Medicago truncatula: one gene and its partner. The protein of the gene in region 1 binds, or shares a complex with, the protein of each later gene. Links are inferred from orthologs where the notes say so. Each region holds a gene or a part of one and is shown in the gene's direction. Other genes may lie near its edges. The genes, in order: mitochondrial import inner membrane translocase subunit TIM50 and mitochondrial import inner membrane translocase subunit TIM17-2.

Region 1 (7,810 bases):
CTTTGTTAATATCTGAAATCTTTGCAAAATTTAATGGATGCATACATCTAATTTCTAAAATACAAGAAGCATGATCAAAAGAAAGAAGATCATGGTTTTGTTGCTTAAATCAAACCATGATTAAATGCCGTCTAGCATCAATTCTAAGATCTTCTTTCATCTTTCTAATGAAATCTTCAAATTTTTTGTTTAACTCTTCTGTACTTAGCACACAACTTTCTTCTTCTACATAATATTCTTCATCTTCTTCTTCATGCTCCTCTTCTTCTATGTTGTTTTCTTCAATTAGAATGTAATCAATTTCCGACAATTTATCTCCCTCATCATCATGTGCATCAAATAGTTCAACTTCTTCTCCTTGTTCTTCGTCTATGAAAATTATATTTTCAATATTTTCTTCGACTTCTGTAGAACATGCTTTAATTTCTATTTCTTCCTCTGCTTCGGCATTTTGTTCATTAGGCTTACTAGTTATCTTCTCAGCTTCTCGCTCCAATATTGGCTCATTGGCCTCTACGTCAAGAACATGATATTGTGAACCATCTTCTTCTACTTGTTCTTCTTCTTCTTCTTCTTCTTGGATATACTGTGATGATGAAAAATCTTTGGAGTTGTTGGAAGGTTTATCATCATCACTAGAAGAGGCAGAAAAAGATTTAGTTAAACCAACAAAAACAAGGAGACCATTACAAAGGAGGAACATGCTATTCTTGTCTATGTTGTGAGTGTAGAGTTGAAAAGGGAGAGTAGAGAAATATAATTTAAAGTAATGAAGGAAAACAAACAAGGAAGAAGGTGAAAAGATGAAGCAAAACACAGATAGTGAAATGAATATTTGTGTAAATTTCATAAGATGGGAATGAGTTTTCATCCCTTGAGTCAGTGTTGATATATTTTGGAAATTTAGTTGACACATATTGTCCATAGTGTTCACTCTAAAGAAAGAGAATGAAATGAGGTTTGGTAGATTGTAAGTAGTGAGATATGATGGTTTGGTGAATTAAAGCCAGGAAGGCCTCATTATATATAGTGGTGACTGGTGTGTACTGGAGAGGGTGATTCTATTATTATTTTTGTTGGTTTCTGAAAATAATTTAAAGACATTTCAATTGATAATACTATGTGCTTATTGTGTTCAGTGGAAAAGGTTAGACTTCACCATGTGATGAATATGGTTCGAATCAAGAAGAGAAAAGAAAATTATGTTTTCCATTATTAGGAGTGTTATACTAGCTAAGTTATTTCACACACACTAAAATAAGTTATAAATTGAAGAAAAATCAATAATTTTATCAAATTGATTTTATTAAACAATTATATCCACTATTATCATAAATACAAAGTCAACGATAGAACTAGTCAACTAATTAAGAAGCATAAATATTTGTTGAAATGTTTTAAAAATAATATCATAAATAAATTTGACGGATAACTGTATTTGTTATATATATGCCTGAGAAAAAAAACTGTATTTGTTATATGTATTTTTATAGGCTACTATGTATTTGTTACTAGTATATTGTTTGAATATACCCTTGGTCTTTTTCAGAAAAGTCTATAGTTGGAAAATTAATATGAAGCAGATGGTATGTTAGGCACTGTGACTATGCCAAGACTTACCTGATATTCAGGAATGCATTTTGTCATGAACGATAATAGGTACTTGAAAAGTAAGTAGTAGCCAGTTGTCAGTCGGATCAGTATTATTGATCATAGAAATTTGCAGCTGTTATCTTCATACTGAACAGAACAAATTGAGGTTTGATTGTCAAGTTGCATTCATACCATTCATGGTTTGGGGCCAAAACCCCCGGGTGATGCGGTACAGAAGAGCAAAGGGGGTCAAGGAACCGCCTTCAAACCCACACACGCCCACATTATTAAAAATTGATAAAGCCTCCATGCATAATGATCTTGGTGGATAATAATAATGGATCACCCAAAAAATTACTCATAATTGATGGCATAGTTACTAAAAAAGAGAAGGGTATGAGAATGATAATTACCTATTGTTCGGACTAGGCTGAGGCCCATTCCGCTAATAGATTGGATCATGGAGGTACATATTATGAATGTTGCTCTTCACCCAGCACATTTTGCTCGCGCCCTACGTGACTTAACTTGCGCATTTTATAACCTCTGCGTGACTTGAGTCACGCACCATTGACCTATGCGCGAGTTAACTCATGCACGTTGGCTGGTGGTCAGAACTGAAGAACAAACGTTTTTTGGACGGTGGTCAGGTTTTCAACCTTCAATCCACACATTTTCTACAAACTTTACACGTTTTTTTGACCACATTTATGGTGGTTATAACCTACACTACCATTCTCACCTATAAATACCCCTCCATACTTCCCTATTTCCTCACACCATCTCACTTTCTCCCCCTCCTCACTCTCTCCCTCTATTTCTCTTCTTCGGAGTAAAATAGTGAGTAGCCAACTTGGGGAAGTGATCAACCATTGGGATAAGTTTAAATCTGTTTTTTTTACTCCATAAACTTTTTACCGTGGGTAAAAGGATTCTTGTTGGGGCATAAAAAAAAACTAGATTTAAATTCAGCCCAGAGGTTGGTGATGTATTTTCCCCAAGAAGGCTGCTCGCTATTTTACCCTAAGAAGATTGATTACTTTTTACCCCAAAAGGGAGAAAATAAGTAGAATAAATTAGTGAATTGGAATAAATTATTGTATCAATTATTGTATTGTATGAATTCTATTAATAAAATGAGATATTGTTATATGCCTCAATTTTGTTCATTCCTTTTATGAGGTGTTCCGCCTTGTTTAAGACAACACGTAGCGTGACTTAACTAACGTTGCGCTAGTTAACTCACGCAACGTTGGTTAAGTTGTGCATTGATTAACACTTGCGCAAGTTAACTAGCGCAATGACATTTTTGACATGGCTGCAGAACGCGAGCAAAATGTGTAGGGTGAAGAGCAAAATTCACATATTATGGGGTGGTATTGACGATGTATCCTAGTGAACATGTCAATCATATTGTCACTATATGATTGTGATTAGACAAAAGTCTAAGAATCATGTAGATTTCGTTCAATTAACTCAACGAATTTTCACCTCGTATTCCTGAAACTCGTCATATATAAAGATATACTTGGAAAAAGGTATTTTTACTTTTAATCAAAACCAATCACTCACCCAATCATAGACAAACTTGATCGTTAAAGTGTTATTTGCATGTGCGCGCAAGACTCAGTCAGAGGAACCAATGAACATTCTTCATTGCGCTTCATCAACTTTGATCGTCAATCTTAGAATCACCTCAAATCACCAACATATTTTAATGAATTGGATGCTAATTGCTAACGGAAGTTCTCATTTAGGATTGAAATATATTCAAGATAAGTGTCATATAATATTCCCATATGAAGAACTTGATGGAAGATTAGTAATTGTATTACAAGATAAGGTACGAGGCTATAACCAATATTAACAAGTCAAAGGGGAAAGATCGGAAGGCTCCTAATTAAGAACGTAGAAATATAGTTGATCCAAACGCAAGGCGATCCAAATATTTGTTTTAAGTCTCTAAAAAAAACACACGTTTTTCTAAAGGCTATTTGGCCTCCAAAGCTCCAAACATAGAATTATTAAAAATTAGTTGATAAAAAGCTGAACTACAACAAAATATTGGTGTTGTTGAGCAGGCTATGAGAGCAAACCTTGATTTTGAGATCTCATGTTTGAATCCTTATAGGAGTAATTATATGATTATTACATGGATTAGTTTGTAATTTTTTATAATTAAAAGGACCAACTTACTAAATTTAAAAATTAACAGGGGGCCAATAAGCAAAATTTGAAACATACATGATAAATTTAAAAAAATAAAAATAAAATGACAAATGTTAAATTTTTGAAATATATATGACCAATATAGTAGCGAAATAATTTAAAATTCTTAACTTTAAGGTGGTATTTGAAATATCTCAATTTAATTTTGACAATATTTGATGAAATCTCTCATTTTCCAAATTTTTTTCTTTCAAAATATTCTATACTGTAAAGAAAGAATTTCAAATACTTAACTTTTAAGTGGTATTGTAAAATACCTCAATTTGACTTTGACAAAACGCTTAATAAAATCTCATCGTTTAAAAAAAATCAAATTTTTCTTTTAGACAATACAATGTAGGGTTAATAGTGTTTTACCACATGCAATATATGTCATTCTCTGTTTTCCCTTTTGCAATTTTTTTCCTTCAGATTCCATCCATGTAATATGAGTTTGCACTGTAATTTTCATTATAATTTCTTAGCTAGATTCCATTATAATTTTCTTTATTTATATAGTAAAAAACACTATCATCTTTTTTTAATTAATATATTTTAGAATTTTTTTGTCGAGTATCCTAGTAGTTATAGCTCACACAATTTAATTGTGGAGAAATAGAGTGTCCGAGATTCGAACCCCAACCTCTATATATAATATGCAACATCCCTATCAAGTGAGTTCATAGATTTTTAAAATTGTTTTCTTACAAAAAAAAAAAAAAAAACATCTTTTTCGTCCTCAAGCAACATTTTTTTAATTAATATTCAGGTGAATTCCTAATATTATTAGATTACTTAAAAAAAATCTTTTTCTTGTGGGAGAAGAAATAAATAATCCACCAAAAAACTTTTTAGCAGGGCTCTAGAAACAACGTTAGCTAGACTGACGGCGTCAAAGTCCAAATAGTTAAAAAAGAATAACAGAAAGCTTAACAGAGTTGATCCGGCGTCTCCACCAAGCCAAGCCAAAACCCTACCTGAACCTCTTTCATTTCATTTCATTCACCATAACAACAATGTCTCTCCAAATTCTCCGATCTCGATTCTTCTCCGTCGCAGCATCATCGTCTTCGAAGCCATTCCGCTTTTCCAAAGTCACTCCTCAACCTTCTTCACGTTTCTCATCCACCGCCGCTCCTGCTACTCCTCATCCTCCTCCTTCCGCCACTCCTTCTCCACCTCCTCCTTCTTCCGCCACTCCTCCACCTTCTTCCGCCACTCCTCCTCCACCTCCTCCTTTTTCTTCCACCGCTTCCCCTAACCGCTGGAACTTCCTCAAATACGCCGCCATCGGTGCCTTAACCGGAACCACCGCCGTTGCCGGTTACGCCTCTTACGGTTCGTATTTTTCTTTTTCCTCTTCATTTCCGTTTCCACTGTAGTTAATCATTTTGAATCTTTCTTTAATCGTATTGATCTGGAAAACGAAATGATGATTGATTGATTTTATTTTTCTTTCTTGTTTATTGAATGTAATGTGCAGCTTATAGTACGGACGAAATTGATGAGAAAACGAAGTTGTTTCGTGATTCGACTAAGTACTCTCCACCTGATGGAGCTACTTCTCTCGATGTAAGTAACTGTTTCTGAATCTTTCTTCGCATTTAATCTTCTTTGCTAATTTAACATTTGAAATTAGTTTTTCTACCATTAATTGTTTTGTTTAATGTTCAATTTCTAAATAATTGACGAATTTTTGTTTGATGAAATGGTTTTTCAAATATCTAAAAGTACCGACATTTCTGTTCGAAGACATCACACGTGTGACTAGTAATTACATTCAATTATGTCATTTTCTTACATTACTACCAGGGATTGTGATAGATATACTTGTTTGAATTATGACAAAACTCAGCATGGTTTGAATGAATGGATTATAATTGTTTCAAGTTACTGCTCTCAATTTGAGTGCTGCTACTAATTTTACATTTGAAGTTATTTTTCTAGTGTGAATTGTTGTGTTTAGACCTATGAAGCACAAACATGAACATCGAACACGGCACTGACACTGACACATCAACACTGATAGTAAATGACATAATTCACTGTAATCACATATGTGGGTGTCATGTCGGTATTGGACAGTGACACGTGTTGGACATCGAACACGCCTTCAATTAGAAGTGTCAGGGCTACAGAGGTTTAGACTCTATAAATTTAATGATTATTTATTTGTTTGATGAAGTGGCTCTTAGAATATGAACTGGAATGAGTTGCAAAATTTGTGTGTGGATTTGACATTTTTCCCACATTTTGTCAATTTATTGGTGGTGTGGTATCTTTGGATGCAACACTTTGATATGGCGGCTTTCAATTGCTTGCATAAGTAAATTTTAGTGATATCAGTGTCAGATTGAAAATTTTACTGTGTTGTTTCTTGGAAACACACTTTGTTGACCTTACTATTGCTTAGTTTTAGAACTCTGCATTGTTTGAATGTGATAGATTTTCTTTGTTCCTTTAGTCATTTTAATATGTTAATAGGCCTCAACATTAGTAGGTTGACATTTTTCTAGCATGAATTGTTGTGTTTAGACTCTCAACATTAACAAATTTTTGTTTGATGAAATGACTCTTCGAATGTGTTTTTGAATCTGCTAAATTTTCTGCAAATCACAAACCAAGTATAAGACGAGCAAGGCGTGAAACTAAACTGAAGTGCAAAAGAAATCGGCCACAAACCACATCACCAACATAAGGGAACAACTGACTAAAAACAGGAAACAGAAGGCCAAAAAAACAGGGAACAACGTACTCTTTGAATGTTGTTCTCTTGTTATTTGAAATGCCTCTTATGCAACATGAACTTAAATGAGTTGCAAATTTTTACTTTTTTGTTTATTGGTAATCCCTTTGTGGACAGCACTATTGCTTAGTTTTGGAGCTTTGCATGGTTAGAATGTAGTAAATTATCATTGTTCCTTTAGTCAGTTTAATATGTTAATAGGCCTTAACATTAGTAGGTTGATATTTTTCGATTTTATTATGCTTGCAGAAATTTCAAGGGATGGTATACTCAACTGCAGTGACAGGTGGGTTCCCCTAGCTTTACTCTGTACGTCACTTATCTTATATCAGTATTGTTCGGATCCTTTAAATATATAATTAATTTTGAGGTTCTTCATGTGAGTGTCTCTTCCCTTGGACTTCGGGAGTGTTGCTGTTACATGAACATTGGACCATCATATGCCATTTAGTTCCATACCCTTGACCTAAATAAGGGAAGTCCTTGGGCGACTTGGAGAAAGCATGTGCCTGGTGTGTGGGCGAGTCCGAATGGATAGAGGTGGGAAAGTTAAAGTGAGAGGGCCCAAGCAGTTATCCCGAGAGGAGGTGAGAAGGGAGTTAGGGAAAAGAACCTCCCACTAGGTGGTTTGAGGAAGGGGCAGTTCCTGCTTTGCATGAAAGGGGGGGCTTGGTCTCAGAAAGAAGGATCACTTTTACAAACACCCAAAATATACCGCCCTTGACTGGAACAACACTGCCAAGGGTAGGAATGATCATACTTCCTGCAAGTACAAACATGAATCGAATGGATGAGTTAACCACTACATCTCTTTTGTGATTTTGTGAAGTTATCTTGGCTATGGATAATCATAATTTATATAGATTAATTTATCAATTAATCATAACAATATGTAGTAGGGGTCCCATGGATAAATTGCTGCTTGCATATGCGCATTACAAAAAAGCTTTTATGATATGATAGTTAACGGTAATTTTCAGTGTTGTTAAATAGCAGCTGCGTTGATGTTATGAGCGATGTTGTAGCGGAAATTAGACATACTTCTGTTGTTCATTCATAGCTATTTAATGTAAAATGTTGACAAACAGTGATGCTAATTTTATCAATCCCCAAATTTCCGTTATCCGCGATTGACAACACTGGTAATTTTAATATGTACCAAAAGAACTGTACTCTGTACAATCATAGAAATATCTATTATACGGCCTCCTTTGTAGCATTTGATCAGGGCGTAGTAACTAGCAAAGAAGTCAAGTGGGCATT
Region 2 (6,324 bases), on another chromosome or scaffold:
ACCCAATAGCCCTCTTGATGTCAGCCCTCAACCCATTCTCAAACTTGATACACTTGGAGAACTCAGCTGTCTCCGCACTGTAATGAGGGTAGAATGTGGCAAGCTCCATAAACTTTGCAGCATACTCTGTGACAGACATGTCACCCTGTTTCAACTCCAGAAATTCAATCTCTTTCTTACCCCTGACATCCTCTGGAAAATACCTGCCCAGCAACTCCTTCCTGAACATGGCCCAGGTTACCACAGCATCATCCTGCTCCAGAACAGGCAACAAACTAATCCACCAATCATCGGCCTCCTCAGCTAACATGTGCGTCCCAAACCGCACCTTCTGTGTCTCAGAACACTGCATGACTCGGAATATTCTTTCAATCTCCTTCAGCCACTTCTGAGCACCATCAGGAGCATACCTACCCTTGAATGTTGGTGGATGATTCCTCAAGAAAGTCTCTAGCATCCTGGTTCCATCACTACCAGTCTCAACCTTAGGTTGCTGTTGAACAACTTGAGCTACAGCCTCAAGCGCAGCAACAAGGGCAGCATCACTACTTCCAGTCATCTCGAGATTCTACACGACAAACAACAACTCAGAACAACAACAAAAAAAACAATATTAAAGTTGACACTCTATCCTAGGTGGCTCAACACGACTCTACTAGTTGGCCGGACGGACCAACCGGCTCTGATACCAAATTGTAACACCCCGTTACCCAAAAGCAATTAAATAGCAAATATACATCAGAGTAGTTCCACAACGGGCATGCTACACGTCATTTCAAAATTTCTTAAATAGAAAATAAAACTATTTAATCAAGCAACTTATTATTTATGAAAACATAGCAGCGGAATAGTTTTCATAATCCATAACCACATGAACATCCAACAATAGTCTAAGGCATTAAAGGCCTTAACATAATTCAACATCATAGTTCAAAGACAACAAAAGGCTCCACACCATAAGTTCCAAAATTTGATACATGGAAAGGAAAAGCAACAATAATAAAAATGATAAATCCCATCCCACGTATCAGAGCCCTAAACACGACTTTGAGCCACCACCTACTACTCAGGATCACCTGCAAGTTACCCATAGGAAGGGCAACATTTTCAAGCAGAAGGGGTGAGATTCACAACAATAAATATATATATTAAAATCATCAATTGAATCTAACACCCTAACCAACAACACTTTATCTTGTAAACAAATATATGTATAAGTCACAAGTAACAACAACATCAACAATACCCATGATCACAATGAATATATATATATAAATGCATATTCAACACCAACATCATCCATCAGAAAATAACCGACATCAACAACCAAGACTCATGCAAATGACATGACCACTGCTAAGACACCATCTTAGACTTCTTAATGAAATGCAATATGCATGTGGTACCAAATAGGACCGAAGCCCTCACCGCTTTTGAATGGTTAAAGCATTCATCAGGACCGAAGCCCTCACCGCTGTTGAGCAACTAGTACTCCAGGACCGAAGCCCTCACCGCTGTTTTATGCATATGTAATGGACCTACTTGTGTATATCTACATACAACTGACCATGCAATGCAACTCCATGTGACTCTACTATAATAATATGTATGATTCAATAAATAACATACATTTCAACCATCATCAGTATTCATCAATCCAACAATCCAATCAACCAAAATAATGTATAATTATATACAACCATGCTCAAATACAACAACACCAACCACTACTAATCATGCAAGCAATTCAACACTCATAAACAGTGCAACTCGCCTTGCGAGCACATCTGCTCGCCATGGCGAGTTCACAAAAACAGTAGCTCGCCGTGGCGAGTTCAAGGCGAACTCTAGGCGAGTGAAAATCAGGAGCTCTCGGGAAAAATGCCATTTTCTCACTCAAATCCAAATTCTAAGTTCCCTATTCATCTTTTTAACCTAAAACTTTCACCATTCATCATAAAAATCATCTAGGTACCTTAAACCATCCCCAAAACATCTTATAACAACTTTTCAAAAATCAAGTTTTATTATGGGCTACTCGCCATGGCGAGTTGGACTGCTCGCGAGGCGAGCTATGAAGTTGCTCACTCGCCATGGCGAGCACAGCTACTCGCGAGGCGAGCGATGAACTTCTGTACGGGCAGAAAACTGGTTTTTCCCAAAAATCCCATTTTCCTTCCAATCACTCCCCAAATCAGTTTACAGATGAGAAATGAATGTTTCTATGCAACCAAAACCAAATTCTAACATCAGAATAGCAATATCTACCCCAAAAACCATAAATTCAATTAAAACCCAATTCCTCAATTTCAATCCAAAAACCTGTTAAACTCAAATCAGACTTTAAAATCTACACTATTGAAGTAAACCTCACCCTTACCTTAGAAATTGAAGAAGAAATGTGCAGCAAATTCACTCTTGGCTCTAACTTGGTCTTCTCCCCTTTTTCTCCCAACTTGTCAGTTCTTACGTACAACTGCTTCTCCTCTTTCTTTTCCTAACTTCCCATTACTTAACTCCCTATATTTTCATTTAACTCCCCATTAACTTTAATAACTATTAAATAACTCCCCAAACTCCAAAATAATTATTATTTCATACTTATATTAATTATTATTAAATAAACTATATAATAAAATAATACACCACATAAGACACCCAAAAATCACATATATATATATAAATATATATATATATATATATATACTCCGCATAAATTACCAAACATCATATATAAAAATACATATACTCCACATAATTCAAATTAATTAAATAAACAACTAGGGCGTTACAGGTGTTCTTTGTATTTTTAGCAGTGGTGCATGCACACGACAATTCACATGTGATGAAAACTAAGCAACCATGTTTGGATTTATCTGTACCACACTCAACTGCTCGATCAGATTTGTTTGCGATATATAATGCAAAACATTCTTTGATATGTTTCCAATCAACTTAGACCACGACAACTTTCCCGTGAAACTGTTTTAAGCATGATCATACTCATATAGAACAACACATGTATTTGAGTATGTTGCGATTCTAACATGTTGTGAACGAATGACCAATTCATACACAAACATCCCATACTACTAGTCAAATACTTTTTCAACTGACTGTGCGCATATTCAACTACGTTTTTCGTTGTATTTCCCATATATCTTACACATGCACAACTTCTTGTACTCAGTATACGAACCTCCCTTTTCACATATAACGTAACAAATACATTTATGCCATTTCCACCCTTATTTGACTTTTTAATAACAGTTGAAAATCCTAGCCTCCCTACTTATTTTCGAATCCACTCAACAAATCGTTATGTGTAGCAAACTTTACTTTAGTGGTAAAATTTTCCTGATGATCAATAGAAACAACAATAGGTCCAACAATTGGATGAGTATCAGCTGGAGGCACACCAGGTGGAGGAGCACCCTTCACTTTCGCATCCTCAGAAGGAATATCGACTAGAGGTGGGGGATCCTCGACTTTGACATTGACGGTATCATCCAAATTTTCAGGTGAAATAATTAGCAACATAATAGGAGTTTCAATGTCAGGAGCCAATGTAAGAGCCTATGAGATATTAATGAGAGCGTCCATTACTAAAAACAATGCAAAATCATGGTAACAAACTGGACAATGTCTGCAATGGTGTGTTTCAGATTATATAAGTCAAACCATATTGTTGACGTGATCAAGAGGAAAGCGCCTAGAAATCGAACGAGGAAGGTCTTATAGGAACATTATCTATGCATTCAAACGAAAATGATGTTGTTGACGCCCCTTGATGACCAAATTGCTACTCCAAATCACACTTTCGCCCAAAATGGTGTGTTTTTTTTTGAGATGTGAGGAGTGTTTAGTGATAAAGGTGGTGACATTTTGTTAGGTTTTTGGCAAACCTTTATATTCGAAGGTTTCAGATTCCATAATCCAAGTGTTCCCCCGCCTTTTAAAAGCTAGTTTTCCCGATCATAAAAATAAAAATGGGCCCAAAAACTATGTTTAAAATCATACTTTCAACACATTGTGAAAAAATTTCGGTTTATATATTTCAAACGATTGTTATAGAAATTTGGGCAAGCATAAGTCATGTTGCATGCCTGCCTTCAATTTTTACATTGTTAGGATTCCATAAATCAAAACACCTTATGATTATAAAATTCGAACAAAAACACATTTTTAAAAAATAAATCGTGCAAGAATCTCATGGAAAGAAAGAATTAAGGTTTAAATATGCCTTTAGTCCTTACACTTTCATCAGATTTTGGCATTGGTCCCTACACTTTTTTTTGTTTGGAATTGGTCAGTGCACTTTGTAAAAATATTGATATTGGTGCCACGTGGCGTGAAATGATTGGGCCAGGTGGCATTCCGTTGATTTTGTGTTTTTTTTTTTTAACAGAAAGTTAACAGAGGGACCAATACCAATATTTTTACAAAGTGCAGGGACCAATGCCAAACAAAAAAAGTGCTTGGATCAATGGACACATTTAAACCAAGAATTAATAATCATATATATATATATATATATTTTTTTTTTTTCCAATAGGTATGCAAAAACAAAATATCTAAAACATTTCCCGTTGATTCTAAAAAAAAAACAAAATTTCCCATTGCTTGATAAAAAAGATTGATATCTAAAATCTAAAATAATTTTAACATTATTAGTCGGCGTATAAAAAGAGAACTTCGACCCTCTTTACTTCATTCTTTTGTTCTCTCTCTTTCTCCTCTCACGCACCAAAACCCTAATACCCAAATTCACTTTTCGATCAAATCAATCAAAACATGGGAACACCTGAAACCTCACGCGAGCCTTGTCCCGATCGCATCCTCGACGACATCGGCGGCGCGTTTGGTATGGGTGCCGTCGGTGGCTCCGCCTTCCACTTTCTCAAAGGTCTCTACAATTCCCCCAAAGGAGCACGTTTCACCGGCGCAACACAAGCTGTTCGTCTCAACGCACCTCGAATCGGTGGTAGTTTCGCTGTTTGGGGTGGTTTATTCTCAACTTTTGATTGTACTATGGTTTACGTGAGACAAAAGGAAGATCCGTGGAATTCTATTGTTGCTGGTGCTGCTACTGGTGGTTTTCTTGCTATGCGTCAGGGTTTAGCTGCTTCTGCGCGATCAGCGGCATTTGGTGGTGTGCTTTTAGCGTTGATTGAGGGGGCTGGTATTGCTTTGAATAAGTTTTTGAGTGCTCAACAGCCTTTGCCGATGATGATCGAGGATATGCCGCCAGAGAATTCGAATTCAAATGCAAATTCGGAGGAAAACAAAGGTGGGAAGCCGTGGTTTGGTGGATTTGGTGGAATTTTTGGACAGAAGGAGGAAGAGAAGATTGGTGGTGGTGGAAGTGAGGTGAAGGTTTTGGAGAGTTTTGATGCGCCTCCTGTGCCGAATTTTGAGTATAAGTGATTATGAATTAGAGTTTTGAGGTAGTGAATTTGTGTTTTGAAAATTTAAATTTGAGAAAATTAGGGTTTGGTTTGAACCTTGATTGATGTTGGTTGCTTATTAGCTATGATACTAATGAAGTATTTATAAGAGTTATCTGGTTTATGGCTGTTTTGAAATTGATAATCATATGTAATAAGTTTAGCGGTAGACTTTTATTATAATGTTAATGATATTTTTTTAATGTTGTTATGATTAATGTAAGTACAGTAGATTATTAGTTGTTTAATTATGTTGAGTTTAAATGAATGTTCTTTGTTTGGTGTGTGATTGCTTGAATTTCAATTGTTTGTTACCAACAAATTTGTGTTGATTAGTGAGGTGAAGGTTTTTGAGAGGGTTGATTCGCCTTCTCTGCCTTATTTTGAGTACGTGTGAAATAGGGTTTGGTTATTGTCTTTTAAGCTTATAATCTCCCTAATGAGTTTCTATTCAGCTAGATTTTCACTGTGTTTTGTTGCCTTCACAAATGGCTACTCACTTAGTGAGGTGTGAACTGGTTTTTGAGGGGCCGTAGGGGTTCTGTGGTTCTGTTTGGTTCTTTTTTTTTTAGCAGTGGCTTTGTTGTGTTGGGTTGGGGGATATTTGTTACTTGAATGAATTTGTGGTGATCAGTGAGGTGAGGGTTCTTGAGAGGTTTGGTGCTCCTCTGCCTTATTTTGAGCACTAATTTCATGGCCGGCCATGTCTTTTGTCAAGAACTATATTTTGTTCTTGTGGCACTAGTGACATGATAGCTACCGGTGGTTATAATTAGTGTAAGTATATTAGATTACCGGTGGTTTAATTACAATATGTTTAAATTTGATGTTTCCTTTAACTGGATTTTGAGAGTGAGGTAAAGATTATTGAGTTCAA

What was found.
Region 2: mitochondrial import inner membrane translocase subunit TIM50 (region 1) and mitochondrial import inner membrane translocase subunit TIM17-2 share a complex: the UniProt entries of both Arabidopsis thaliana proteins name them as parts of the TIM17:23 complex. The link is inferred for Medicago truncatula from reciprocal best matches to the Arabidopsis thaliana genes TIM50 and TIM17-2.

Annotation. Positions count from the first base shown.
Region 1 is NC_053046.1:42,945,563-42,953,372, reverse strand, and holds the start of mitochondrial import inner membrane translocase subunit TIM50, read left to right. Parts: upstream 1-4,702; 5' UTR 4,703-4,817; coding exon 4,818-5,139; intron 5,140-5,284; coding exon 5,285-5,373; intron 5,374-6,796; coding exon 6,797-6,833; intron 6,834-7,810. UniProt on the Arabidopsis thaliana protein: Essential component of the TIM17:23 complex, a complex that mediates the translocation of transit peptide-containing proteins across the mitochondrial inner membrane.
Region 2 is NC_053047.1:41,353,975-41,360,298, forward strand, and holds mitochondrial import inner membrane translocase subunit TIM17-2, read left to right. Parts: upstream 1-4,662; 5' UTR 4,663-4,794; coding exon 4,795-5,427; 3' UTR 5,428-5,734; downstream 5,735-6,324. UniProt on the Arabidopsis thaliana protein: Essential component of the TIM17:23 complex, a complex that mediates the translocation of transit peptide-containing proteins across the mitochondrial inner membrane. Links the inner and outer membranes.